3 linked regions of the Lonchura striata genome follow. The protein of the gene in region 1 interacts with the protein of each later gene in a pairwise test. Links are inferred from orthologs where the notes say so. Each region holds a gene or a part of one and is shown on either strand. Other genes may lie near its edges. The genes, in order: ATXN1, OTX2 and CIRBP.

Region 1 (9,791 bases):
AACACCAATGAGATTTTGCGGATTTGTTAAGTGTCTGTCTCTTAGTTGCCTGTGATCAGGACAGGTAAGCATGAGACTCAGGTGTTTCACATTCCAATTTCTAAGTTTTAGCTAGTCTGCAAATCCCAATTTATTGCTTCCCTGATACAACTGCCTTGCTTGTTGTCAATATTAAGAATCATTGTTCTAACCCTGAGTGTGTCACATGATGAGTGTGAGAGCTTTGTGATTTTTCAGGTTCAGCCTCTGGCATCCGTGCTCCCTCCATTACAGCATCATAGGACAACTTCAGTTCACATCAGGCACCAGCCTCATTCTACTTTCTGACCTATCCTAGCACTGACCAGCACTGTTCAGTATAGCACCCATGACTTGGTATTCATAAAGCTTTTTCCTTGTTTTTTTTTTTTTCCTAACATACTTTTTCCTCACGTTCCCCTACCAACATGACATGCATTGAAACTTTTATGGATGCATTCAACCTCTGGCTCCACTCATCATTCACCCCTGCTTCCCCTAACATGTCTATTATTTTCCTACAGATAGGCACATGTCTTTAATCTACAGTTCCACAAGCTTCGAATTTTGTTTGCTGGATCACTGAAATTCTGTGTCACCTCTTCCACTGCCCTTTAAAGGGAAAAATATTCCCATCAGAAACTACACCTGGTGGTTGACATTTGGTGATTTAATTGGGAATAAGGACATTTCCATCGTTGAAGTTCATGTGGCTTAGAGCTCAGATACTGTAATAAAAGGGACTTTGGAATACGGCAATATAGTTCAGGGGAAAAAAGAATCCTATGAGGAAATCTGTTATAATGGGGACACTATCAGGAGAGAGGTGGTGGAAGCTTCCTCAGTTAGGAAACTTTTAGCAGAAATTCACAATTCAAGAACTTATCCTAGACAAAGATTGCAGATCAGCTAGAAGAGTGAGATGATGATGAGGCTTCCAAGTTTCTCGCACTGTGATCTGTTGGAACATGAGTGTACTACCTATTTTATGCTTCCCTAGACAAACTATCACCTGTGTAGCACACACTGAGCAGAGCAGAGGTTAGACATTCTACTCTTCTCTGTAATGGGACGTGGTTGGTGGAAGTGCATAGATTAGCAGACTGTGCCTAATGTTATTAGCCAAATGCTTTCATGGAGCTATGGCATTATGGAACTTCAGCAGAAATGTCTCACTGACCAAACTGATGGTCTTACTAGGTTAACAGAGAAATTATTGCTTTCATTTTCAGCCCTGCATAATAAATCATGGTGGTTTAGGCCCCAGGCATTCTAAGTATATGTATATGTATATGTATACGTATACGTATACGTATATGTATATGTATACGTATACGTATATGTATATGTATATGTATATGTATATGTATATGTATATGATGTATATGTATAGAGAAATTCCAGCTGCATTTAATTGATGGTGCAGTGAGTGTTCTGAAGACCACATTATCTACTGAAATAAAGCACTAGCAAGAATGACTGGTGTGCAATATAATCACGGGTCTTTGTTGCTTCCAGAAACCTAATGAATGAACACACAACATCCATTGGTTTCCGACATGACAGGCATATGGTGTTCATAAATAAATAAAAGGCATGACATTACAGTTACGCTGATACCACTGAGTGGCAACATTTGGTAAACTGGAAAGCTGTCTATTCTATCCTACCTCGACAGCAAAATCACAAAATCTCTGATTAAGACCAATTAATTGTGCCTGATAGCTTTTGGGGTTCCCTCCCATTAAGCCATGTTACTAGGTTCCAAATAAAACCCTAGATTACTTTCTCATTTATAGCTTCAGATATATATATTTAAACCATTAAAATTACATAGAAGGTAATTGGCAGCTACAATACCCTTCAGCATCAATACCTCCATACCTAGGAGAGATTCGCAGCGATATAAAAGACTGCAGCAGGACCTGGGTGCCTATGTTCTGCTTTGATTTAAAACAGAGATCCTGAAAAGGCCAAAATAGCTGCCTACAGGAACAATCCTGCCCTTTTACAGTGATCTACTGTTTGTGGTACTTACCAAAACATGGGTAACCCTGGTTAAATTTCCAAATTTCCATGAGTTTAGGAACCTCAGTTTCACATCTTTCCCAGAAATGCTCTGCCTAGACAGTCCTCTTCCACATGTTCTCACTTCTTGCCCAAATTGCCACACTTCACCAGTGGCATAATTCCTTCAAAATTTGCAGCATATAGGAATACATTTCTTTCTGCGACACTTGCATTCTGAAGCCACAACCAGATCCCTAGCAATAAGTATCAGCTGATTCATCTCAAAACACCAAAATACGCCAAAATACACCAAAATACATATTATCTCAAGCAATTGGGAAAATTACACTGGTGAAGTTGTCCACAGACTTCCCTTCAGCACAATAAATGCTATACAGTCCATTCCTTTAAATCTTAAAATCCATTAGTCTGACTGCAAATTTAGCCAGACATCCAGCATGGCCACATAAACACTATCCTATCAACTCAGTCTAACTCCAGGATAATCCTCATCTGAATTCATCCAGATTCATCAGTTTTCTGTGGTACCTATAGGTTCTGCAGATAAGCCTCACTCTTCAAACTTTGCAGAAACCTAGCCCTAGCACAAAGACACAAGCCCCAATCAGTCCCGAATGTTTTCACAACAAGTAAATCAGAAAGAACTCCCTCCCTAGGCTGTACATGGTAACCTCCTTTGGATTAAGACTAGCCCAAAATCTGGAGTTAATATATGGTATAGGAGAGAAGCATACAATATATTCCTGATCATTAAAGTGTTCAAATGGTCTTCAGTTAATTTCCATATGACAGAGGTCACCCTTCTCTTTGGGTAACCCTAAAGTGATGATTAAGACTGAGATATGTATGGAAAATATTTTTCTTTCTGAGACCTGCTGAGGGAGTAGATAGCCTGGTGCTAGTAGAATTGTATCAGCCACAGTTAGGTCATAAGATCATGCATCCAGGAGCTGGAAGCCTGTGTTTGTTTTTCACAGGTTATGCCACGCAAAAATAAAGGCTTGTGTTGACAGTGAATGGGCTAGAGGAAGTTGCAAATGATGAGGTATCACTTCTCTGGGATTTAGGTAAGAATTCCTAGGAATTCTAAAGCTGGAGAATCATATCCTAGATTCTATCAGGACCACCAAAACAGAAAAAGGTCTGATGCTAGAAGGGATGTAAGGTAAAACTAAGTTTTGAGAAATTATCCTTCAATAGAAGGGATTGTTCTCCTGTGATGGTGTTAGTGGTACAGTTCAGTTATAGGAATGAATGGACAAAAGAACTGTATTTATTCCTAAATTTTACTAGGATGGTCATCTTAAATTGAGGATGCTAATACAGTAGTAGGACTGTAGTAGCATGGCTTACAGGATATATTTTGATCTGTTAATGGCCAGCTTCACTTCTGGTTTTACAGAAGAGGATGTGTTAGCCTTTCAGAGAAGGTTGAAAACAGTATTGCAGCACAAACACAGGCTGCATGATGAACCCTACCTAAATACAAGAAGTTTGTCTTTTGTTGAGACATAGGTGTGAAAAGTTAGGGTTTTTTCCAGAAAAAAAAAAAAAAAAAACAAAAAAAACACAACAGGATTTTTTTCTAAATCCTGGAAGACCTGCTGTTGCTGCTACCTGGAAGACCTGCTGTTGCTAGACCAAAAAGCCAGGTTTTGAGTTTGGGTCTGTCAATGTCACCAGTCTTCCACTTGGGCTGAAAAAAGTGTACTTCTAAATACATCTGCAAGTATTTCTGGGACAGACAAATGTTGCTTTTCTGGCCCTAATAAAGGAGTTTGTGTAATGACTGGAAAGCCAGGCTAGCTCACCCTTTCTGCAGACACCGCAAAACACTCAGGAGTGCTGGGCACAGCAAGAGAAAGGAAACACGATGGGGTGGACTACATTTGGATTCAGATGAACTTTTAGAAGTTCATCTTCCAGGTCCACAGGGGTCTGAGATGTTAAATACACTACTAAGTGGGCTGTGTGCTGCAGGGCTCCATTGAGCACTGACACCCTTAGCTGAGCTACTATTTAAGTTCAGGTCACTGGGCTAGAGTTTAAAGTTACAATTAGCCCTCGGAGTGTCAGGTTTAACATAATATTCCAGACCAACAGGAGAGTCAAGCTGGTAGACTTTTGGAGACAGAGCTAACTGACCTAATCGAATTCAGGTGAATGTTAAGGGCTTGTCATAATTTCACTTGAAAAGTAACATTTATGTCTCATCCTGTGGTTCTGCTAGATTTCACTTGAGTTAGTCTTAACATGTTAAACCAAATTTAATCTGGAGAGTCTGAAGCGTCAAGTAAAGTTTAGTGACAGCATGGCTTAGGACTGGTATAGGTATAGGCCATTAGAACTAGGAAAACTACTGATGCAAAAATCAAATGGAACTAAGGTTAGACATGGGCAAACAGGGCCTGAGTTTAGGGCTAAGTACTCTCATTATGGTCAATGTTTGGTACCAGAAGGGCAGAAGAACTTTGTGAAAGTCCATCCTGCAAGTGATGCACTGCTCTTTTTTCTAAGTGAGAGTGTCTTCATAAGGAAAAGCCTAGCAGACTAGGCTTTCTTCACCACCTAGAAGGTGGTGAAAGAGGAAAAAGAGACACACAGTACTTATCAAGACTTTGGGACTGCAAGAGAATGGTTTAGAAGTCTGTACACATATGCACATCTGTTTTCCCCGGTTTTAACCTTCTTCCCATCCTTCCGGTCTCTCTGTGAGTCTCCCTTCCCCCCAACTCCCACAGTCCTATGTCTCTTCATGTCACACAGACATTCCTTTATTTATGTTTCTGTTCATCCTTCCCAGTCCCAACATTGGGCAGAGGCAGCAAGAGAAGAGGAAGAACAAGGGAAACAGCTTTACCATTTTTTTTTTTCATCTTGTGACCAAAGAACATCAAGAACCACAACCACCAGCACCACCACAATAAAAATGGATGTGTTGCAGCACCATAGTTTTGCTAGCCTGGAGAGAGCAGTAAGTGAAGAGGTTTGACGACAAGCCTTCGGGGAGGGATCGAAGCATTTGAGGACCGCCAGCAGCCAGTGAACCGGCTGTGCCCGCGGGCTCTCTGGACGGCCGGGCACCGCTGACCCCACCGGACCCCATCACCCGGCACTTGCTGTTTGCAGCAAACCTGCCTCGAAGGGCACCGGGCGTCCCCCGAGGGGCACCTCAGAGGCCGCCCCTTCGCCGGCCGCGCCGAGGCCCGGCTGCCGCCGCACGGGGGGCACCCAGCTGTTGCCAACAGCTGTGTGTCAGCCCCGGCCGCGCCGCGGCCGAGCGCGGGGTCCGCCCCGCCGCCGTCCCCGCCCCCTGCGAGGAGGAGGAGGAGGAACCGAGAGTGACCGACCCGGTGGCTTTTAGGGGGGAGGCCACTCAGTCGTTAGAGCCCAGGCCCTGCACTCCTCTTCCAGCTGCTGTTTCTGCTCGTTTCCAGCACTACAGCCGCCAGGCTGGCTGCTGCCCGGCCTCCCCTCCTCTTTTTGCCGGTACCTACCTCAAAACCGCCCGAGGCTGCGAGGCTCCGCTCTTGAAGGAGGAAGAAGCTGGGTCTGCAAAGGCAGAAGGGAATTGCATTGTAGCTGGGTGGCGGGGGGAAAACGGGGGGCGGGGGAAGAGAGGAGAGAGAAAAAAAAACAAAAAGGAAAAAAAGAGCGGGGCTGAGTCTGGAAGTGGGTCTCGCCGCCCAGGACCCGCACACCCCGGTGGCCACGCGTGGGTGCAGATCGCGGCGCGCAGGGCCGGGCTGAAGATGCACACGACGCAGAAGGACACCACTTACACCAAGATCTTCGTCGGGGGCTTGCCCTACCACACCACCGACTCCAGCCTGCGCAAGTACTTCGAGGTCTTCGGGGACATCGAGGAGGCGGTGGTCATCACCGACCGGCAGACGGGCAAGTCCCGGGGATACGGCTTTGTAAGTGCCGGGGCGCGGGGCAGGGCGGTGGGCGGCTGCGGGAGGGCATCGCGGGGAAACTTCCGCGGGGGCCGCTGTGAGAGCTCGTGGGCCGGGAGGGGCTGCCGAGCGTCCGGTTTTTTGCTTTTCTCTCTTCTTTTTTTTTTTTTTTTTTTTAATTTTTTTTTTCCTTTTTATTTTTCTCTCTCCCTGCTGGGGAGTTTGGATAGAGGCGGGGTGGGGGGGATTACTGAACAAGGAGATTGAGGGGGGGACTTGCCTAATTCCTCGCACACCGCCGGCGCGCCTGTTGCTCGCTGATACGGCCGCTGCGGGGTTTATCTGCCGGCGGCCGAGCTCGGCCCGCGCCCTCCGCCCTGCGCCCGGCGCGGCTCCCGGCGCTGCGCTGCGCTCCGCTCGGCGGGCGGGCCCCGGGCCGGGGTCCGGCCGGCGGCCCCTCGGCGCCGCCCGCGGGTAGGGCCGGGTCGCTGCTATGGGCGGGAGGCTTCTCCTTCCCCGCGGAAAGGGATCTAATGCGCGGCATCGCCCGTTAAGGTCACCACGGCTGACAGAGCTGCTGCCGAAAGGGCTTGTAAGGACCCCAACCCCATCATCGATGGCAGGAAAGCCAACGTGAACCTGGCGTACCTGGGTGCCAAGCCGCGGATAATGCAGCCAGGTGAGGAAGCAGCTCCGAATGGCTTTTCTCTCCATACCTCAGGTTTCTGAAGAGAGTAAAACTTCAAAAAAAGGTAGTGCTGCCCTCCACCTTCCTGAAGTACGCACACAGTTGGGCGTGCTTTGGTTTTGATTTTTTAAATGCAGCATGTAGTAATTTTCTGGCTATTTTGCACATGTGCCTTATTTAAAAAACAAAAGCAATCAGAGATAAAATATCTGGAGTTCCCCAGGAAGACTTCCACAGCTCAAACACTTCATTGGTTATTCCTGCTGCTGGGAATGTGGTGGCGCTGACCATTTACAGTATCGTTGCAGGGTAAGATTGGCCTAGGAGTGACTCGCTTCCAATGTGTGCGGTCTTATTAACACAAACATTAAATATCTTAATACAAACTTCTCAAACATATGGGAGCAATTATACAGATTTTAAAATGAAATGGCTTTTCCTAAGACCACTTCTGAGACAATCTGATTTCCTAGCCACTTCCCAGACTGCTGGGACACTTGAAGCAAAAGTAAGAGGAGCATGGAGTGTGTGCACATTTATGCTCTAAAGGAGGTCGTTCTGAATTCCCTCATGTTTAGCCTGATGAACACTTGTGCGAGTAATTAATTGCCTGCCAGTAGAAGACAGGGTTTCTGCTAGGGTGTCTGGAGAGCAGAAATGAAGTTGGGATTTGACCCCCTATGCTAAGTCCTGATGAGTAGGGGTGACTTAAATTTTAAGTCTGTAGAAATTGCACAAATAGACTGATGAATGGAAAGTACCATCCAGTCATTCAGATGCTAAAGTTAGGGATCCAAATGGAGCACCAGGTAAAATGTGAATGAAAACCCTGTACTTGTTTAGAAAACGTCGTTTTCCTAAACATCTCTAGGAAAGCGTGTGCTTTACTGGTTTAAGTTCTGTGTGTGTGTGTGTATGTATTTTGCTTTCTAATTTTTGGTTCTACAGCGTTTCAGCTATTGTTACTGCAGGCTGTTAGTAAAGGCTCTTACTCCGCATTTTTTTTGTGTGTGTGTATATATATATAACATAAAGAAGTGGCCGAAAAAACAACCATACAGAGAATATGATGTGTTTTTGTTGGTAGGTTTTGCCTTTGGTGTCCAGCAGCTTCATCCAGCTCTCATACAGAGGCCTTTCGGGTAAGTCTCAATGGGATCTCAAAGAGGGGAGGAAATAAATCTTTTTTTTCAAAAAAAAAAAGGAAAGAAAAGTATGATCGTTGAAGGCCTCTTACAGTAGCATCCTTAAAGCTGGCCAGCAATGCTGAAGCTCTCAGATTTATAAATGTATACTCATAAATGTGCTCACCTTGTCGGTCATGTTCTAAATGCCGCAGCTGAGTCAAGTTGTGTGGGACGTGGCCCTTCCGCCTAAGCAGTCCAGTCCCACATGACCCTATGATAAAACAAGGAGGAATAATTTGATGCAAGATTGCTGTGCCCCATTTCTCTTTTTTCAGCTTGACTCAATGTTATTTATCTCTTTCTAATCTGACAGGGATCGTTTACAGTTAAGATAACTGATCAGAAGGATATGATGATAAGAGGTGGAATAGTTCTGTTTGGAATTAAACTCTGTAACCAGTAGACTCAAACACAAACAAGCTAAAATGGTGATTAACGATGCATGTATGTTTTTTTCATATAGTCAATAGACCTCCGTGTGCTTTTTTTTTATTACAGTAATGAAGTGGTGTTGATAGCTAAACTGTGTGCTTTTATTTAATTGAAAGAGCTGTAGTGAAAGTTTTTTGGGGGGGATCTTTTTTAATTTTGGTTTTGTTGTTGAGGAGTGACTTTGCCATGGGGAGCAAAGGGCCTTTTTTTTCCTTGCTTTCAAGCTGTAGCCTGTGACTTTTTTAACCATATTTTGTAGTGAGTGCTATCTTGTGTGATTTCTTGATTTTTAAGTAAATCAACATATTGCTTGCATGTTCATAATTTTTGGGAGGTTTGTTCTTGGGAAGGGTGTGGATCTCCTTATTAACGATGTGCGTCCATTTGGGCTTTCTAATTTGAGGGGATTTTTTCTTCAATCTGTCATTAATATGTAGTGCATTTCTCCTGAATTTGAGTATAAACTATTCCTAAGTGGATCTAACTCTTGCTTCTTATAGGCATATCATTAGGAGGTGAAGTCTGCTTTAAGCTTTCCATAGTGTCACTTCACTAATGCACAGTGACTGAGAAACTCATTGCAAAATAGTGCATTCTGCTAATAAATGCATAAGCTAACAATATAGTAGGGAAAATGTGTTGCAAATGTAGTTTATTTGGTTAGACTGGCTTTAGAATATCATACTTACCTGTTATGAAACGACAACAGCTTCTCAGTAATTTAATTTGTCAGAATGGAAGGAAACAGTTCTTATCCTGAAAACAACAGGAAAAGGTTTTTCCTAGAAACTTCATGTAATTTTAAAAGTGTGTTGATTCTTCTGAGAGTGGGGAGGCTGTAAAAACATTTTTTCTGTTTTTTTTTTCTACCTTGTTATGATCATCCTCTACTGTATTTTGCTTGCTTCTTTGAAGTGTGAGATGACAATGTATATGCACTGATCAGTTTATGATGCCTGCACTAAGGCAGGCAGGAGGCAGAACACCTCCTCTCCAGAGCTATTAAAACATTTGTTGAAAAGGGAACTACTGAATTGTGCAGGGATCACAGAGTCTTTGCTGAGCACAACAGAAAAGGAGGATCTGTGGCAGTCCCTTGCTTAAAGGACTCTGCAAATGTAGGAGTCTTTCTTGCTTTCCTTACCCAAAGCCAACAAGAGATGACATAAACCATGTTTAAGTCAGGGAGATCCTTCCAGCAAGCTGAATGAGGTTGGATTTCTAATGCATTGCACATAAATCTGAAAGAATGTTGGTCACGGAGTCATGTTTATATAAAATTGGTAATTTTTCATTCTTGACTGTTGCATTTCTTTCACAATGTGTACACAACAGAGATTACCAACCCTTCTTCCTCCTCAAAATTTCCGGTGATCTATACCTTTATCTAAAGTATGTGGTTCAGATTAAGGAGAACAGCAATCATTAGGATGAATTAACATCTTCATTCACTTAATTGACAGTAAGAAAGGATGTTTCAGTGCTTATTTGAATCTCCTTCTGTTGAAGAGTTCACTTCTGCTGTGTGGTTTGCAT
Region 2 (9,791 bases), on another chromosome or scaffold:
TCCAAGGACAACCACGTTGGATCGCACTCAGCCGGGCTCGGAGAAAGCCACAAAGAAGCCAATTAATTGCTATAACTTCATTAACATAGGTCACCCCGTGAAAATGATGGAGCCGCTGCAGTTTTTTTCCCCCCATTGTCACAAAGTGAGGAAAGTCTGTGAGCGCTCCCTCCCTCCGACCTCAGCCGCCTCCATCCTCCTGCCTTTTGCCAGGGCTTTATTTTCGGGGTGCTGTGAGCCGCGAGAAGTTGAGCGAGGACGGGAGGTGCCAGGGGAACATCCCGGTGCCCGGCTCCGGTGTGCCAGGCCGGGAACCCCCTGGGCCCTCCTCACCCTCAGCCCGTCACTGCTCCCAAATTATTCCCATTAAAAACATGCGCGCGTCCCTCTTTGCAATTTCAACGCGACGCCGATAAGTTCCATTCCGCACCCTCGTTCCTTATAGATCTTTAAAAATACAATTTAAAACGCGTTTATGTCGTCCCCCAGGTGACTCCATTTCCCCTCTTCCAGGGGTGACTTGGCCCCTGGGAGGTGGAATTGGGGTGTGGTCGATTTGTGGGTGCCACTGGGGGGACCCGGGGCTGGGGGCACCCCGCTCTGTGCTGGGGGGGATTCTCCCCTTGGCTCCCGCGGGTTTTCCTCTCACCCATCTCCTGCTGCTCAGCCCAGGGCTCCCGGCAGGCTTCGTGTCCCCCCTTCACAAATATTTACTTCTATACATTAATATCTTTTGTTGTTGTTGTTATTATTATTACAGCCACCCCCCAGCCTTCTGCTGCCCCCCCTTTCCTCGCCTTCCCCGGGCAGTTCGCTAATTCCATCTCTGCTGTCCATCACATTAATTTCTACAATGACTTCATCCGCTCCGCTCCATAATGTATATTTTTAAACCGAGCAGGTTCTTTTAATGTATATTCTGGTGTCATTTCGGCGGCTGTTATTTCTCTCTGGATTGTCCCCCCGGTACAGCAGCGGCCTGTTTTTTCCTCCCCCTGTGTGTGTTTTTATTATTTTCCCCCTGGCTTAGATGTGTCAATCACTCTCTCCCTGCCATTGGTTGGAGAGTTTGCGTCAAAAAGTTGCCAGAGAGGCGCTTTCTCAGCAAAGCTCCCCGAGAGAGGTAGAGACCTTCAGCTCCAACGCACCCTGCCACTATTATTAAAAATAAAACCACTTTGACCAGCTCCAGCACCGGCCAGCTCTGTATGTACCGAGCCCAGACCCCGAGCATCCCCGCATCCCTCTCCTGCACCGTCCCCTCCCCTTTTTCCCCATTTATTCTCCTTTTTCAAACATTTTTTTCTCCACCCCCCCCTCCCCCCCCCCTTTCCCCCCGATGTCGTGGGCATGTGCATGCGGCGAGCTCTCTAACCTCCCGCTTTGTGCTTTCTCTCCCAGCTCAGCCCGAGCTCTGAATTTGGCGAGGATCCGGGAGCAGCTTTCCCCCTTCGCCCCCCAGCCCTGCCCGCGGCTCCGGCGAGCCTCGCAGGTAAGTCCGACCCGCTGGCTCCATCCTTCCTCGGGGGCACGGCTGGGCGGCCAGGAACGCGGGGAGAATTCAAATGATCGAATTTTTTTTTTTTATTTGTTTGTTTGTTTAAATGATGATTATTTTCAAGCAGCCTGTGCGCGGTGGGGCTGCGCTGTGCGGGGATCCCGCAGGAGCTGCCCGGGAGAGGCCGGGCCGGGCCGGGCGGAGGCGGCCCCGGCTCGGGGACAGCACCGGCTCGGTGCTCGGCAGGGACCGGGAGCTGCAGGATGAGAGGGAAAAAGGCAAAATTGGGAAGCGTGGGGCGCTGCCCATCGCCGCCCTCGCCCCCCGAGCCTCGTCCCCCGCGGCCGGGCGCGGAGCCGCTCGCTCTCCGCGGGCAGGCGCGGGGCTTCATCGCCTTTTCGTTGGGTACATGATTTTTTTTCCGGCCTGTTCCTTTGGCCTGTAGATATTTCCTGACCTCAAGCTTGAGTTTTAAAATTATGGAGAAAAAAATAAAACCAAAATAAAACCAAAAAACCAACCAACCAAAAAACCAACGGGGAGGAATTGAATTTCTCCCCTCTTCCGACTCCTACCTGAGAACCCTTTCATCCTCCTCCTCTTCCTCGCGATGCGGAGACTCAGCAAAGTAATTTTGCAAAGGTGTTTTTGAGCACTCACGGCCCGGGAGAACCGGGCTGGAAAGCGCAGGGAGAGAAATCTTCAAAGCATTTAGGGCCGGAGCTTCAGGATTTGGGGCGGGCGAAAGGGGTGGCAGGAATGGCATCCAGGTCGGAGAGGGGCTGGAACTGGTATCCACCTCCTTTATTTTATTTTAATTTTATTTTTTTATGCCTTGGGAAAGCGCTTCCTAAAGACACCGACCGCGAGTAGCGCGGCCCGGCCTCTCTATATTCGCACCGCGCTGACAAAGAAAAACTCGGGAAAAGTCCTTGTGCAGCGGCACAAGTTTCTTTAGAACTAAAACCCTCCTTGGCTGCTGAGTTTTATTTCGATTTCGGCTGCTTAGAGAAGTTGAGGCTTATTATTTATTTATTTTGAAAAGGCGCAACTCTAGTTAAAAAAATATATATATAATAATAGAAAGAAGTGGGGGAAAAAAGCACTTTAAAAATGCGGCCGGGTGCTGCTGGGCGGCAGGGACGGGCCTGGGGCGGACGTGGCTGCCCGCCGAGCCCGGCCCTGCCGCTCCCGGGGCCGGGGAGGAGCCGCGGCCGCGGAGCAGCGCGGAGCTGCGGAGGGAGAAGCGCTGGGGGACCGCCCGGCAGAGCGGGTGACGGGTCCATCCCCACCGCCTTTGCAATTTGTGGTAAAATTCGCTTGTCGGGAAATATCCCTTCAAACAGTCCCTTCAGTGCGGGAAAAAAAAAAAAAAAAAAAAAAGAAAAAGAAAAAAAAAGGTTTGATTTAAAAAAAAATTAAATAAATTTGGATTCGTTGAATTCGTTGGAGCGCGGCGAGGGCAGGGAACGCGGCTGTCGTTCGCAAAACAAAAGGAAACAAATTCCCTTCTCTACCTTGGCACCTTTCCCCCCGCCCTCCGCGGGAGCCCCTCCGCGCTGCTCCGCGGCCCGGCCGAGCCCCCCCGGCCCCCGCAGCGCGGCCGGGGCCGGGGGCGCAGCCTGCGCGGCCGGGCGCGGATCGCTGCCCCGCATTAATCACCGGGGCGAGCAGCGGAGCCGGGGCCGGTGCCTCGTAATTAGGGAGCGTGTGCCGCCCGGATTATCTCGTTAGTTTATCAAGAAAACATTTATTATAATTAATTCTCGGACGGGGTAATTATTATTGAGCGAGGGCAGAGCAACTGGTAGCCGGGATGTGCGCGGAGCGGGGGGAGCGGGAGGCGGGGGAAGGTGACAGATTGCGGAGTGGAGCCGTTGCTCCGCGGGCTGCGCGGCGGCCCCGGGATGCGCGGCCGCGGCCGAGGGGCTCCGCGGGCGGCCGCGCCGGGCTGGCGCCTCGGTGGGATGCCGCCGAATTTAACCGAACGGCTTGCTTTTTTTGGAGAGGAGGTGTTTGTGTGTGTTTTTTTTTGTTTTGGTTTTTTTTTTTTAGTATTTTTTTCTTTTTTTTTCTTTTTAAAATATTTTTGTCCGCTCGTTTTGAAGCGGGCAGCAAGCCCCGCTTTGCTCTCCCGCGCGTCTTGCGCGGAGAACAGAGCGTGGCTCCCCCCTCGGCAGAACCGTCCCCGTTCGGCTTCCCCCGGGGGGTGATGCTAAAAGCGGGGCCCGACCCTGCGCCCCCCGCGCTGGATGCGCGCTCCCTCCGCCGCTCAGCCCGGCAAATCCCTTCCCCGAGGGGAGAAGCGGAAAGTCCGCGCCGCGGAGAACTCGCACCGCCGGGGGTGCACGGGGCTGGAGCCCCCCGGCAGCGCTGGGCCCTCCCGGGGAGTCGGCTGGGCTGGAACGCGGAGTTTTGGGCTCTTTCGGGAAGAAAGTTCTGCTGGAGTTCGTTTTCCCGACGGCTGCTGGGATGGAGGGAAGGGCGAGCTTTCATTCAAAAAGATTTTAAAAAAAATATTTTCTGTGGGGAAAAAACGGCCTAAACCTTTTTAACCTTTTTATGAGTCTCTGTTTGGCCCGTTGCCGTCCTTTTTTTTTTTTTTTTTTTTTTTCTCCTTTTTTTTCCCTTTTTTTTTTTTTTTTGTTTTGGCGGACCCCATATTTGGGTCCCCCCTCGTTCCCCGGCGCAGAGATGCCGGTCCCGTCGGGGCAGCGAGAGGGGACCGGGGCAGCCCGAGCGGTGACCGGGAGAGCCGCTGGCTCGCCGGGGCTGTCCCGGGGCCGCTCACCGCCGGGCTGTTTGTTTAGCTTCAGCTCCGTCATCAAGAGTTTCTTGAAAGCCTAATAAATCTGTTACTTGCCTCCAAATCTAATTACCCGGAGTACTAATTAGGTGCAAATGGCCGGTGGAAATTACTGCAGACGTGGACTGATGGCGGGAGAGCAGAAAAGTTTGGCTCTTCCCGAGCGGGCATTTGAGCTCTGAAATGCAGCAACGTCGGGGGGAAGGGGAAAAGGGGGAGAAGGGGGGAAAGGTTTGAATGTTGCCCAAACCTGGGATAATTAAAGTCCTTGCAAGAGACTAGTGGAGAGATAGGTTTCTTGAATTGTTTCTTTGTTTCTCACCCTTGGGCTTTGTTATCTGCATTATTTATTTAGCCGAGGGGTTCTTTGTGTCTGCCAATGGCCCCAATCAAGTTTTGCTTGAGACAATTAGCCGGTGCCCGGCCGGGAATCCTATGCAAATGCCCCCGGCCGCCGTACAATGCGGGCAGTTGAAGGCATGGGGGGGTTTTGTTCGGGCAGTAATTACTGGCTGGGATGTGCCCCCCCTTCCCTCCCCTCCTCGCCCTTTTTGGGGAGAGATGCGTTTATCTAGTCAGTCTCTCCCAGCTCCCAAATCTGGTTGGGGTCCGAGAGGGAGGATTGACGAGGGTGGAGGGGGGGGGAAAGGCAGCCGGGATAAAAGCGGGGGGGGCGGGGGGCAGCGATCTGGCCTGACTCCCCCCTTCATCCCCGCATTGCTCCCTCCTCTTCCTCCTGCGCAGGCACCTGGCGGCCCCCCCACGCCCGACGGCTCCCCCAGGCACCGCCCGGGGCAGGCAGGGCGCTCGGCCGGCTCCCCCTCGCCCGGATTTCGGCCAACTCTCCTCCCCGCCACAACTTTAGCATGATGTCTTATCTTAAGCAACCACCTTATGCAGTCAATGGCCTGAGTCTCACAACCTCGGGCATGGATTTGCTGCATCCGTCCGTCGGTTATCCCGGTAAGCCACGTTTTTCTTCCCTCTTCCCTCCCTCTATTTTGCTGCGCGGGGGAGAAACCGCTGGGATTTTGGAGGCACAACATGCCCAGGGATCACGGCTGGCTTGGGCGGGTGAACGCGTGGGGTCCCTTCTTCCTGACCCCCAAGTTTTTCTGGGGGAGAGGGGCTGCAAACAGGGCAGACCCCGGCGCTGGGGATGCTCCGAACGCACGGAGTTGGGACGGCCGCGCTGTGGCGGCTGATCCTGGGGGTGCGGGACCCCCGGGAGAGGGGAGAGAATGTGGGTGCCCCTCTAGGGAGGGGGCTGGAGGGGACAGCGGGGTCTAAGGGGCCGCTGACTGACAGCCAGGGCCTCTGGCTCCGTTCGCAGCCACCCCGCGGAAGCAGCGGCGGGAGCGCACCACCTTCACCCGGGCGCAGCTGGATGTGCTGGAGGCTCTTTTCGCCAAGACCCGCTACCCCGACATCTTCATGCGGGAGGAGGTGGCCCTGAAAATCAACCTGCCCGAGTCCCGAGTGCAGGTAGGATGCGGAGATCCCTACCTGCCCTCCCCCTCCGTACCGCGGGAAGGGCTTGGGCTGGCCTGTGCCTGACTGGGAGGGACACGGCTTTAGGGGATGGATCCAGTCCTGAAGCCAAATCAAGCCCTTGTGGGGTGAAGGAGGCTCAGAGACGGGTGGGGGTTCAGTGAGGGGATGTGGTGGCATTTTGCATCCCCAGGGCTGGCTGTGCCCCCCCTTCCTCCCTCTGCACTGAGGGGGTGTTATGCAGATCCTGGATCCCAGCTCTTGGACCTTCCACACCCATCCCCAGCACGCCCAAATCCCAGTCTGTCCTGCAGAAGCCACAGAGGATGCCCACTTCCCCGGGGATCACCACATCCCTGGAGCTGGGCCAGACTGGGATCCCAGACCAAACCAGTACAGACTGGGAGCTTCCTCCCCCTCTGAGGGGACTTTGATGAGAGAGGGGCTGCCTTGGTGGAGAGAGCCCCTCTCCCGGGGCTGGGCTGTGTCTGCTCTGCAGGGAGCCCATGCAGGCAGCATTTTGGAGATGCTGCTGGCAAGGCAGGAGGGTCCTGCTCCCTCTGGGACCTAGAACACCCCAGCAGCAGGGGGACAGGGCATCTCCAAAGCCATCCCTTCCACTTGCTCCCTGACGAGGCTTCCCGAGGCTGTGTGGTGCTCCCGTGGAGCGTGGTGGCCGGGATCAGGATACCCCCATGCCAAACCCCATCCTCCTTCCCACAAAACCTCCCCAGAGCCAGCCAGCCCCCTTGGGCCCTGCTAAGGGAAGGTGAGATGGGCTGAGGGGCCAACTCTGGCCGAGGGGGTGAGAGCAGAGAGCCTGTTTGGAGGATAAATGAGACATCTTTACCCCTCTCCCCACCCTGAACCTCTGCTTCCCTAATTGTTCCCTGCTTTTCTGATGTTCTATTGTTTCTAATTAAGGGCTCGACTTCAATAGGCCTTACGCAGTGATTCCTGGGGGTCCCCGGCTGGCAAACAGCAAAGAGAGAATGCTTCCCCTTCTCCCGAAAAGTGACCTTATTAAGGAGTTTGATTTGTGATTTCCACTCGTTATTGCTGCTAATTATCTCAGGGAGGGGAAGCCCCGGAGCTTCCCTTCGCAGCAGCCTGCAACCCTCTGCTCTTGGGGGACAGTTTAGGGTTTCCCTCCCCGGCGAGGTCTGCCTGCCACCATCTCATCCCTAACCCCAGGCTTTTTCTCTCTCCCTCCCTTGTGTCTCTGCCTCAAGGTGTGGTTTAAAAACCGCCGAGCCAAGTGCCGGCAGCAGCAGCAGCAGCAGCAGAACGGGGGCCAGAACAAGGTCCGGCCGGCTAAAAAGAAGAATTCGCCCGCCCGGGAAGTGAGCTCGGAGAGCGGGACCAGCGGGCAGTTCACTCCCCCCTCCAGCACCTCAGTCCCCACCATTTCCAGCAGCAGTGCCCCCGTGTCCATCTGGAGCCCAGCGTCCATCTCCCCGCTCTCAGACCCCCTGTCCACCTCTTCCTCCTGCATGCAGAGATCCTATCCCATGACCTACACCCAGGCATCAGGCTACAGCCAAGGATACGCTGGATCGACCTCCTATTTCGGAGGGATGGACTGTGGATCTTACTTGACCCCTATGCACCACCAGCTCCCCGGGCCGGGGGCCACCCTGAGTCCCATGGGTGCCAACGCGGTCACCAGCCACCTCAACCAGTCTCCAGCCTCCCTCTCCACCCAGGGCTATGGAGCCTCCAGTTTGGGCTTTAACTCCACCGCCGATTGCTTGGATTATAAAGACCAAACGGCCTCCTGGAAGTTAAACTTCAATGCTGACTGCTTGGATTATAAGGACCAGACATCGTCATGGAAGTTCCAGGTTTTGTGAAGAACCTTTGTGATACCGAGAGAAATCGCGACGAGAACGAACAGGCTGGGCTGAGCGCTCCAGTTTTAGTCAGGTCTTGGTTAAGTTAAAGAGAAAAATAACTCCACGGACAAACAAATGAACAAAACAAAAAAAAAAAAATAAACAAACTTGACAGCAACAAGAGGGGGACAGTGTTGGTGTGATCCCGTTCAGACTCATCTCCTGCTCAGACGCTCTGGAAAAGGAATAATAAAGAGGAAAAACGGAGGAGGAAGGCCTTAAATGGACAGATCATCTAGTGAGCAGAAACCAGACAGACCCATCTGTGTTCTTTCTAGTTTTAGCCAATTGTTGGGTTTCTTTGTTTGGAAGAGGTGGGAGATCTTCCCACCTGCGGGCCAGTTTAAAAAAAAAAAAAAAAAGTCTAGGTTTTTATTTCTTTTTTTGTGTGTGCGTGGAAAGATGATCCTTCACCCAGAGGTTTCCAATGTGTTAGCCAACCCTCGGTTAAAATATTCAGAATGGACAACATCTCTCTTTTTCTCCCTCTTTTTGTCCCTCCCTCTTTCTTTTCTCTCTCTCGAGCTCATCCAACTGTTTCATGCCCAACTTGCTGAAGTTGGCACCCGGAGAACTTGGTTCAGGGCTGTGTGGGTTGTGTGACTGATTGTCCTAGCTGCACTACTTTATTTAAAGATTAAGAAAAAAAAAAAAGATAATGTTCATAAGGAGTCAATATGTAGTTTTTAAGAGACAATCAGTGTGTGTCTTATATAAATGGTACATCTGTGGTTTTTAATCTGTGCTAGACTTCAAAACTGTGATCTCCTGTATTGTATGCAACTATGAACTCTGCACCAGCAGGAGTTCTGCTGTGATTTAAATAGGTTATAATTATAAGTGAAATTCAGAGCAACTGAGTTACCTATTATCATCTTTAAAAAAAAATAATTAAAAATATATATTTAAAAAATAATAAAAAAGAAAAAAAAAAAAGAAAAACGCAAAAAACACGATCGCCTTTCACCCGAGGTGAACTGCACTGAAACTTTTTACAACAAACTGTCTCTGAATGAAAGAGGAAAGACCGAAAATACCCCACCCGAGGACATTTAACTCCTCTGGAGCTCACTTACTGCTGGCCACGCCGGCAGTAACCGTCAAATCCGACAGGACTTTGGGCAGTTGCTCTGACCTGGATGAATTTAAACCAAGAAATTCATTGTCGTTTATGCTTGCAGATGTTAACTGAAAAAAAAAAGAAAAAAAAAAGATATATATGCATAAACCTTTTTTTCCTGGATTTGGCAGATATGTATAATTATATTAAAATGGTTCTAGCACACTTGATGTTTGTCTTCCATTTCAATCACAGCCGGCGAGGGACGGAGAAGGGGCACGGGAGACCAGGAGGGTCTGGCTGCTTCTGCAGGGTTGAGACAAAAGGGGTTCTGCTGGCATCTCCCCGAGGTGTAGGAAGCAAAAATCGAGGAGGGGCGTTATTTTATTTTTGAAATCTTTAATTAAAAAAAACTTCCATTACAAGCAGAGCTTGGCTAAGGTGACCTTTCCCACCCCAGCTTCGCCAAATCTCTTGGTGGGGAGGGAGGGACGTGGCTGCCCGGCGGCTTCTTCCCAGGGGATGGAGTCCCCAGTTGTGTCTTTGGGGAGAACTTTCCAGGCAGAAAGAAAGGAGAACCTGGATCAGGCAGAGGTGCTGGGGAAGGAGAGGGATGGTGTTTGAGCTACAATCTCACCAGCTGAAGCCCCAGGATGCAGGATCAGGCCTTTCCCACGCATTCCCTCTTCTTGGTGGCTCTTTCTCTGTCCCTCTCCCTCTTTCTCCCTCTCTCCTTCCCGTGTGCAGTGCTGGAGCTGCTGGAGCCCTGCACTCGGGTTGGATTTAGCACAGTGAAATAATGGATCTCTGGAAAGGGAGTGATCTGGGAAAAAAAACCCAGCACCATGTCACTTGCTGTCCCCCAGGTTTGTCACCAGCACCCTGTGAGCCACCCAGGGCCACCAGCACCACGCTTTGGTCCTCAGGACTGAGGAGCACGAGTGATGAGGCAGCCACGGTGCCTCTCCATCCATCCCTGGGCTCTGCATCCCCGTCCCAAAGCATCCCTTCCAAACTGCTCCTTCCTGCAGTGCCACGTGT
Region 3 (9,791 bases), on another chromosome or scaffold:
TCCCAACCCTGAATCCCCCCTGACCTCAATCGGGGTGCACTGGCATTCCCAGCTCCCAATTCCCCTGGGCTCCAGCTGGGTGCACCAGTATCTCCGATTCCGAATCCCACCTGGACCTCAGCTCATTTCCTAACGCTGCAGTTTGGATATCCCGCCGCTGTGACCCCCATCACCTCAGGGCACCTTGTGCCAGCCCGGATCTCGTGCACCTTTTTCTTGTGGATCCCATCCCCGTTGCTCCCGGCGGATCCGATCATTCTGCTCTTTGTGGATCCAATCCCCCCGCTCCCTGTGGATCCCATCCTTCTGTTCTCTGCGGATCTGATCCCGGCGGATGCCGTGCCCCGCTCCCCGTGGCTTTGTCCTGCAGCCCGGTAAATCCCGGTCACGGGAAGCGCAGCGGCCGCGCTCCTCGCCATGGTAACGGGGATTGCGTCAGGGCTTTTCTTTCCAACTGCAAAGCTGGATGAGCAGCTCCCTCGGGGCCAGGAGGAAGGGAGAAGGGAATATTCTTTTCCCTGGGGCGTTTTGGGACTGCCAGTTCCCTAATCCAGCCCTGGTTTGGTGTTTGCTTGCGGCTCCAAGGCTGCCAAGGGCCAGACACGGTGGGAACAGCGAGGGCTCCCATGCCAGGCACACCGAGGGGTCCCGTGCTGGGACACTGAGGGGTGCTGTGCTGGGGACACTGATGGGTGCTGAGCTGGGACACTGATGGGTGCTGTGCTGGGACACTGATGGGTGCTGTGCTGGGACACCGATGGGTGCTGTGCTGGGACACTGATGGGTGCTGTGCTGGGACACCGAGGGGTCCTGTGCTGGGGACACTGATGGGTGCTGTGCTGGGACACTGATGGGTGCTGTGCTGGGACACTGAGGGGTGCTGTGCTGGGGACACCGATGGGTGCTGTGCTGGGACACCGATGGGTGCTGTGCTGGGACACTGATGGGTGCTGTGCTGGGACACTGATGGGTGCTGAGCTGGGACACTGATGGGTGCTGTGCTGGGACACTGATGGGTGCTGACCTGGGGACACTGATGGGTGCTGTGCTGGGACACCGAGGGGTCCTGTGCTGGGACACTGATGGGTGCTGAGCTGGGGACACTGATGGGTGCTGTGCTGGGACACCGAGGGGTGCTGTGCTGAGGACATTGATGGGTGCTGTGCTGGGACACTGATGGGTGCTGTGCTGGGACACCGAGGGGTCCTGTGCTGGGGTCCCTGAGGCCTGGGAAGACTCTGTGCTTCCCCTGTGGCATCTCCCTGCTCCTGGTATAAGATGATCTTGCAGGGAAAACCAGGAAGGAACCAGAGGCTTGGTGTTGGCTGGGGTGGAGGCGCAGGGATGAGATCTTCATTCCGGCCTCACATTCCCTCCTTTCCTGCAATCCCAGCAGAAACAAAGGCAGAGGAGGCGGCTCCTGCGCCCTGCAGGATGTGCTGGGGCGTGCGGAGCTCCCCCACCGCTGTGCCTGGAGCAGGGAGGATGGTCCCGGGGGCTTTGCCGAGGCTCAGGAGCAGGAGGAACGCTGTGCCAGAACCCGGAGCGGGCGGGGGAAGGGGGCTGCCTGGAGGGCTTTGTTCCCTCCCAGCCCCGGGTAAAGCACAGCAGCACCAGAGGATGAGATGTGGCACCACTGCCCCGTCCTCCCCTTTCCACCGCTCCTGTTCCCAGCCCTGGCCCGCGGCGGCAGCACCGGAGGAGCTGCTCCGGGATTTGGGAACCTCATCAGAGCAGCGCCCGGGGCGGGGGCTGCCCTTGGCTCCCCAAAAGGTGCCAGGGCTGCCAAGCAGGTTTGGGCTCAGCTGCTGCACGGCTCTGGGCAACTCCAGGGACTGGGAAAGAGCCCTACAAACAGCCCAGCAAGGTGGGGACCCCCAGAGAAAGCCCGCGGTGCTGTGGATGGAGCGTGGGATGTGAGAGAGGCTCATGCTGATGTGGGAATGGCACGGGGTGAAGGTGGGAGGGCAGCACAGCTCCTCCTGTCACGGTTCCCCCGTGGCATTTCCGTGTGGTGCTATCCCTGCTGTGCTGCTGGACAGGCAGAACTTCTAGGAAATCAGATTTGCATTAACAGGATGTTCGGTCCTACAACCTCTGCCCTCGGAAGGTTTAAAAAATAGGTGATAAAAACATCAGTCGTGTGTGGGGGGATTGCTTGAATCAGCTCCAGGTGATCCCTGAGGTCCCTCCAGCCTCTGGTGATTCACAATTTCCCGTGGCTGCACCTGTACACACAAACAGCTCTGCTTCAGAGCGGATATTTGCACTTCCTAAGGAAGTGCTGGCACTTTTGTCAAATGGGGTCACTACGGCCACAGCCCTTCTCACAGCCAGATCCAGGTGACCAAAATTAGGGCTCAGCCAGGGAAAACAGCCATGGGTGCTCAGGTCTGGAACTCACACAGGAGTGAACTCTGCATCTCCTACGTGGTGTTGCCTGCTTGGGGCCCCTGGGCAGGGCCCTTCTGCTGCAGGAGGTTTGCTCTAAGGATGTGAATCCCGGGCTGTTTCAGTGCTTAATTAACTGCCCCAATGGCTGGTGCAATCTGCCGGGTGAGCTGCCTGCCTGGCTGCTCCCAGCGCTGCTCCCAGCCAGAGCCCAGCCTGTGGGACGTGCAGTGATGTCCCTGGTGACGTGGGGCAGCTGCGGCCCCTGTGTGCAGCCTGATCATGGAATATCCAGGAGGATTGTCAAATCCACAGCTGATGCCATGTCTGATGCCATGTCTGATGCCCCGAGTCAGGGCACTGGAGCACTGAACCCTCCCTGCAGCAGCAGCACTGGGGCCAGAGCACACCGTGTCTATTTGGCCCAGCTCTCTCCTTGTGTCACTGGTGACTCTCACTGTCAAAGCAAAGGCATCAACACGCCCCAGGGAGACAGAAATCAAACTTTTGGGACACAACCAAGCAGGGCTGTGCTCGCCATTCCCTGTCACAGGAGCTCCTCTGCTGCCAGCAGCCCTTGATCCTGCTGGGACTCAAATTCCCCCAAAGCAGCAAAGGTTCTCACTGCTATTTTCACAACACCCGACCTGCCTGGTTTTGTGTGGAGTCAAATCCCAGTGAATCCCGGTGTTTGTCCCTCAAGGTTTGCAGCGGGGTTAGTGTTGGCTGTCCAGCATCTCAGGCTGGAAAATGGCTCTCTGCATCAAGGTCACTTTATCCACCCTCATCACAGACCAGAAATGCTCACGTTAATGGGTCTCTAATTTAATCAAAATGCTGTGCCTGTGATTGCAGGGCTGGGATCTTTTCCTCTCTTGAAGGGCAAAAATCAATTTGCAGTAACAGCAGATGCGTCTGCTCCCTTCTCCAGGCCTAGGAAAGTGAGTACATTTTTTCATCGTATGAAAATAATAATATTGGCCAGGTGTGTCATCAATATTGGGATCTTTTATGTGCTTTTGAACACTTTGGTGGCAGCATTCTGTCCCTGTGGCCCCGTGAGCTCAAAAAATCCACAGCTGCTGTGGTGCCCCTGGGTTTTGTAATTGCTGTATTACCTATGTGCAAACTGCCCTTTTCCTGCAGATCCCAAAGGGATCCCAACAAATCAGAGAGGAAAAGCCTAATTTCCATGTTCTGGGACGCAGGGAATGGGTGATCGGTGCTCGACAGAGCAATCACAGGCAGGTTTTTTTGCATTTCCCTGTGGTTTGGAAATCGGTCACCAAGTAGTTGTGATTTTTGTACTCCAGTGATTTTCTTCTGTGCGGCCTGGCTCTGACTGGAAATACTGGGAGGGAAGGGAAGGGAAGGGAAGGGAAGGGGAAAAGGGAAGGAGCGGCAAACTGCGGCTGCAAACTGCACCATGAATTACAAGGAGTTTGTGGAAGCAGAAAAAACGTGTCTGGCGGTACCTGGGAGAGGGGACACACACACAGTGACCCTGCTGTGTCCAGTGCTGTCCTTGGGCGCGGGGCACACACGGGGACAGCACAGCCCCGTCCTCGCCGCGTTTCCTTCCCGTTTCCTCACGCTGCTCTTCCCTCCCCTGCATCTCCCCCTCTCCATTTCTTCACGTGCGTCTCTTCCTCTCCAATGTTTCCTAACACTTTTCTACGTGAGATTGTAATGTATGGCACACCGAACGTTTTTATTTTGAGGACTTTCAAAGCTGTGTCGCCTCTCGGTAAGACACGTCTTTGGCTTTGCCAATTTTCTCTTTCAATACAAAGTTTTTCCTGCTGAAGGCATTCTCACTTTTCTCAGACCTCAGGATGGGCTTTTAAAGTTTTCAATTTTTGGGGAAACAGGTTGAGAGCAAAGTTTTGTGTTTTTTTTGTTTGTTTTTTTTTTTAAGAAAACTTTGTTGCTTTGACTACTTCTATCATCTAGGGCAACACTGCAAAGAGGGAGCTGAAGGGATCATTCCCCCACGGGACAGAGAGGAAGGCGGACGGTTCTGGGGCACAAAACGGGCTCCCTCAGCGGGGCGGTGACCGACGGGGCGGCGGCGGGAGGAGCCGCCGGAGCCCGGCCGGGGGCAGCGCCGGGCGCCCAAGATGGCGGCGGCCCCTGAGGCGGCCCCTTTGTCTGCGGCCGCCGCCGCAGTGCGAGAGGGCGCGAAACTGGGCCAGCCTGGCCACGCCCCCTCCGCCAGCCTGGCCCGCCCTCCCGGCCAATCAGCGCCCTCCACTTCCTCCCCTCTCACAGGGGCGCTCCCGCCCGCCTCCGCGCGCGCAGCCAATGGGCGCCGCCTGCCGCGCCCCCGCCCCCCCGCATGGGTGGAAGGGGCGGGGCCACGGCGTGGTTTTGTTTGCTTCGCCCCCGTCGCGGTTCATTAATATTAATGAAATCCCGCCCAATCAGGTGGTGAAGCGGCGGCGGCGCTTTGGTGACGCGAAGCCCCTCCTTGCAGCGGGGTTCATCTGCATATTCATAAGATAGGCGGGATGAGGCGCGGGCGTTTATAAGGCGCCGCCCCGCCAGGCTCGCCGTACATTTCGCTGAAGCTTTGAAGTGTTGTGGGAACCTCGCGCCGCCCGGGTATCGGTGAGCGCAGTCGCGCGGGGCGTCCGCGACCGCACCGGGCGGGGTGGTCCGCGGTGAGCGGAGCCGTGTCCTAGGGGCAGAGCTCGGGGTCCCGCAGGAGGCTGGGCCGCAGCTCCCGACCCGCCGATCGGTGCCTTCTGCGGGCACAGGGGGCGCGGCAGAGCGGGCCGGTGTGGGCCGCGAGGGGGAAGGGGCCGCGGCGGGGGGAAAGGCGTGCGCGGAAACAAAATGGCGACGGGCCTCGGCCGTGCAAAATGGCGGGCGGGAGGGAGGGGGCGGCGGGCGCCGCTGCGCCGGGGAGGCCGGTAGGGGGCGCGGCGCGGCGCGCATGCGCGCTGGGCACGGAGGGGCCGGCCGCGGGGGTCCCACCGGGGCTCGGCGGGACCCGACCCGGCCGCCGGTTCCGCCGGGGCCCGGCCCCGGTGATGCTCCTGCCGCTGGGCCCTCGCTCCCGCCCGCCCTGAGGGAGACCCGTTCTGAGGCTGGGAGACCACATAAGGTGTGGCCTCAGGGGCGCATAAGTGGTCCGGGAGTTTGAGGTTACATCGGTGGCGTTATAGGTAGTGTTAGAAGGATTTAATGTTTGTGGCCTGGCGGGGATTATGTGGGTTTTTTGAGTTGCTGACTCGGTTCTGTTGGTTTGGCAGGTCAGAATGGCATCAGATGAGGGAAAGCTCTTTGTCGGCGGGCTGAGTTTCGACACCAATGAGCAGTCATTGGAGCAAGTCTTCTCTAAATACGGACAGATTTCTGAAGGTGAGACTGCAGAGCCACAATGACATAGTTTCCCTTAGTCTGTTAAATTTCCCTGGTGCTGATGGGTTTTTGTTTCCTCTATGTCCTTTTCATAGTCGTGGTGGTGAAAGACAGAGAGACTCAGAGATCCAGAGGTTTTGGATTTGTTACTTTTGAAAATATCGATGATGCGAAAGATGCAATGATGGCCATGAATGGAAAGGTGAGGAGGTTTCGGAGTTGATTCTTCATTTCCCATAATGGAGGAGACTCAGAGGTGTGCTGTTGTTCAGGCTGTGTGGAAAACCAGATAAATGCCAGTGTCTTAAATGAGCTGATATGGATGTAAAAAATCTGGCTATATAGATTAATACATAGAACCTATATGTATATATATACATACTACGAATACAAATTGATAAAGTTCCATTATGGAACCTGGATGACTGAGATACGACTTTATAGGTATTCCCGTAAATGCAATTAATATATCAGGTTTTTTGCCTACTTGGTTTAATTGTGGCATGAAATAGATGGTTATTTCTTGAGCAGCGAGTCCTGGCACTGCTCAGCCAACTGTGAAGGCATGTGACTCCTTCTACATGTGCTTGCTATTTAAATGTTTCAGTTTGGCTAACTGTGGTTGTGTTTTAGTCTGTAGATGGGCGTCAGATCCGAGTCGACCAGGCTGGGAAATCATCTGAGAACAGATCCCGTGGCTACAGAGGGGGGTCCTCGGGGGGCCGGGGCTTCTTCCGCGGGGGCCGAGGCCGGGGCCGTGGCTTCTCCAGAGGTGAGTGCATGGGGGTCAGTCATAATGTCTGGATGGGGGAATGTGTCTTGTCAGAATGGTTAAAAAAACCGCGTTTCCATGTATTTCCAAGGAGGTGGAGACAGAGGCTATGGCGGCAGCAGATTCGACTCCAGAAGTGGAGGCTATAACGGCTCCAGAGACTACTATAACAGCAGGTAAGGGCTCTGCCAGCACCAGGGCTCGTGGGCAAGCTGTGGTGGAATTCAACCCAGCAGAGAAGGAGTTGAGCAGCTGTAAATGAGGTGCTGTTTGTCCCGCAGGAGTCAAGGTGGCTATGGAGACAGGAACTCAGGAGGGTCCTACAGAGACAGCTACGACAGTTACGGTAAGTCCTGCTTCGAGCGGGAGCGCTGAGTCCGTGTGCTGTAGGAGCTCTGAACCTGCTGAGCCTGAGCCTGGAGCTGGGGCAGGCTCAGGCTGTGGACGTGGTGGTGCCGGGAGATTCTAATTTAATGCATGTGCAGGAGTTGCTCGGATCTAAGGCAAAGCAAGTGTTTAAAAAAAAAAAAAAAATAAGGTGTTCCTGGAGCCCAAACTCGGCTGCCCTAACGCACTGACCCGCGGGTGGGGGATCTCAGTAGCCAAGTAGCCGTAGCCTCGGAATATTGCAAAGGGAGTAAAATGCTGGAACTTGTCTTTGCTTCAGTGCCTTTACAATTGTGCCTGCTTCTTGTCCTCAGCTACACACAACGAGTAAAAATCCTTCCTGACTCAAGATCGTCCTTCCAATGGCTGTATTTATAAAGATTTTTGGAGCTTCGCTGAAATGGTTATTGTGTAGTACATCTACTTGTATTTTCACTTTTGTAGTATTATCAGTTCTGATCTTGTCATACACAGCCTGGCAGCTTCTGAAACGAGACTGTCTGATTAGACTGTCTCAGAGAAAGCTCTGCTTTCAAGTGGTTTTAATCTTCTTTGAAAGCACTTCAGATTTTATTTTATTCTCCATGAATGAGCCAAGGTGTTCGTTTTTGGTTGTTTTTTTTTTTTTCTAAGTTGGGGCCCCAATTCAGTTTCTTTTGAGCTAGCAAGGATCTTGTACCAATGTTCACTGGAAGCTGAACAAGCTGTGGACTTTTTATTCTCTTTTTTTTTTTTTTTTTTTTTTAAGTGCATTACCCTTGTCTTTTGTAACATTCCTTTAGTGTAGCAAGGTAGGAATGCAGCTTGGGTTCCGTTGGAAGGCAAACCACCTTGATATATCTAAAGAGAAACGTGCTTGTATGTTCCACTCGCATAACGGTATTTTTACTGTTGTAATGATGTAAATGACCCAGAACTAGACTTGCAAACTTACCATAAAGAGGTTCTTGAAAATGTTTATTTATATTGTCCTTTTTTACTGGAAGAAATATGCATATTCCATTGCTGTTGTATTTGAAGTGGTAAAGGATTCCTGTATACAGTTTTCTTTGGCTTTACGAAGCCTATTAAAGGACCGTCTGAAATGAACTCTGCTCCTGACATTTACATTTCATTGCACAACACAACCCTTGGAGATGAAGAACAGTCACGGGAGCGAGAGGAGGAGATTAGGGACAGTGGCAGAGCTGGCCGGACGATTGCCCGGGCGCTGGAATTTAAATCCTAAAATCGGTCTTGACATCTGAATTGGCCAAGAAATTTCACATAAAGTAGTCAAAACTTGTCTGTAGAGGCTGGAAGTACAAACCTGAGGGTGTGCTAGGAGCGAAGTGAAGTTGGAATGTTAGGAAGGATAATGGATGTTTGCTCCAAAGCTGCTGTAGCCTACACTGGGAAGCTGTAGAGAAGAGCCAAGTGCTGTAGTCCCTGGGCTGTTCCCTGCGTGCCGAGCGCGTGTGTGATGTAGGGGAATGCCGGGCTTAGCTTAGCTGTGTCATTGCTTACAAGTTCTAAGAATTCTTTGCTAGCAAATGGAAACTGCAGTGTCCTTGGAGAAAAGAAGTGTTGTGCCTCCAACAGAAACCTCTGAGACGAGAGCTGCTCTCTTGGCTAGTTCATATGTGGAAATAGTCCTGTAATTCGAGGTAACTCCTTTTGCTCATGTCCGCATCCTTCCTCTTGTTGAGAGCTCATTTGAAAGTCTAATGTACCTGTGAAATATTCCTTTTGACAATTTTGGTCAGCTACTGGAAAAACGTTTAACCCATGCCGTATGCAACCTTTGGCTTGTGGCACACCTTGAGTTCCACAGATCAGAGTTGGGCATGCAGCCGTGTCTTGCTGTAGGTACGGAAGCAAGATTGGAACGAACTCCCTGACTCGATATGTGTTCATCTATTGAGACTCTTCTAGACTTCATTAAGTTGCTCACTTTAATTGTAGCTTTCTTTGCCATCCTACTTGTTGCCATTAACTTTTTCCCATGGCCCACACTTCCTAAGCAGCCATGTCCAAGTGTTAACTCTCTGCTTAGGGGATCCAATCCATGGGCTGGCTGAGCACGGGCAGCAGCCGGCCCGGAACAGTTTTCCCAGACTGTGCTTTGTGGTGTGATGGGTTCAGCGATGGCTTGTGAGACCCTCGTGCGCTGTGAGCTGTGTGGGGAGGTTGGGGGCGAGAGCAGCCTCTGCCCTGGGCCTTTGTTAATGCCTCTCTGCTTTAGCAGGCTGAAGGGACCCGGCACACACCTCGGAGGCCCAGCGGATCCTGAGCGACCAGAGCTGCGTTCCAGGGATGCTGCAGCAAGTTTGCCAGCCAGGTAATGTCCCTTTCATGGTTTTTTTGTTTTTCTTTGTTTTTCCTTTGGCTGTGTCCCTGTTCTGTAGCCCTGAGCTCTTAAGTGGTGCAGTAACCCCGTTCCTTTCCTGTATCTTTATCCACCTTCCAATTCTCTTGTCTCCATTTCGTTTCAGCACTGAGACATGTCAGAGAAGGCAGAAGGACAGACACTGGAGTGGAGACATGAAGAGCACAGAGCAGTGGTGTTGATCATTTTTACATGAACCAAATCAATCAAGACAGAATAAAACACTGAAATGTGGAAAAAACCAAATTTCTGTGGTACTTTTTGTGGGAAACAGAATGTTTTTGGCAAAAGTATTTGGTGCACAGCCCAGTTCAGAGCACAGAGCAAAACCATCACTCTGGTGCTCGGAGGTGGACACACTGCTCCAAGCAGATTGATGTGTGATCCTCGTGGAAAATGAGGTCTTGTTGCAGGTAAAATCCCAAAAATGTGGCAGCTTGGTAATGAGGATTAATAAAATGTTGGGAGAGGCTGACAAGCTGAATGTGTTTCTGGCAGGAGATTGCA

Evidence for each region.
Region 2: the proteins of ATXN1 (region 1) and OTX2 interact in binary tests that used the Homo sapiens proteins (3 or more experiments, as listed by UniProt). The link is inferred for Lonchura striata from reciprocal best matches to the Homo sapiens genes ATXN1 and OTX2.
Region 3: the proteins of ATXN1 (region 1) and CIRBP interact in binary tests that used the Homo sapiens proteins (3 or more experiments, as listed by UniProt). The link is inferred for Lonchura striata from reciprocal best matches to the Homo sapiens genes ATXN1 and CIRBP.

The regions. Positions count from the first base shown.
Region 1 is NC_134603.1:90,442,061-90,451,851, forward strand, and holds the start of ATXN1 (ataxin-1), read right to left. Parts: upstream 5,643-9,791; 5' UTR 5,547-5,642; exon of another isoform or gene 5,306-5,546; intron 1-5,305. Other genes in the region: RBM24 (RNA-binding protein 24), read left to right, coding at 5,802-5,969, 6,504-6,627, 7,724-7,778. UniProt on the Homo sapiens protein: Chromatin-binding factor that repress Notch signaling in the absence of Notch intracellular domain by acting as a CBF1 corepressor. Binds to the HEY promoter and might assist, along with NCOR2, RBPJ-mediated repression. Binds RNA in vitro.
Region 2 is NC_134608.1:4,122,446-4,132,236, reverse strand, and holds OTX2 (homeobox protein OTX2), read left to right. Parts: upstream 1-5,127; 5' UTR 5,128-5,170; coding exon 5,171-5,267; intron 5,268-5,616; coding exon 5,617-5,789; intron 5,790-7,027; coding exon 7,028-7,648; 3' UTR 7,649-8,975; downstream 8,976-9,791. UniProt on the Homo sapiens protein: Transcription factor probably involved in the development of the brain and the sense organs. Can bind to the bicoid/BCD target sequence (BTS): 5'-TCTAATCCC-3'.
Region 3 is NC_134630.1:6,365,872-6,375,662, reverse strand, and holds CIRBP (cold-inducible RNA-binding protein), read left to right. Parts: upstream 1-4,852; 5' UTR 4,853-4,995; exon of another isoform or gene 4,996-5,001; intron 5,002-5,648; 5' UTR 5,649-5,654; coding exon 5,655-5,757; intron 5,758-5,852; coding exon 5,853-5,959; intron 5,960-6,390; coding exon 6,391-6,529; intron 6,530-6,620; coding exon 6,621-6,705; intron 6,706-6,810; coding exon 6,811-6,904; 3' UTR 6,905-7,230; coding exon of another isoform or gene 7,231-7,247; 3' UTR 7,248-8,005; downstream 8,006-9,791. UniProt on the Homo sapiens protein: Cold-inducible mRNA binding protein that plays a protective role in the genotoxic stress response by stabilizing transcripts of genes involved in cell survival. Acts as a translational activator.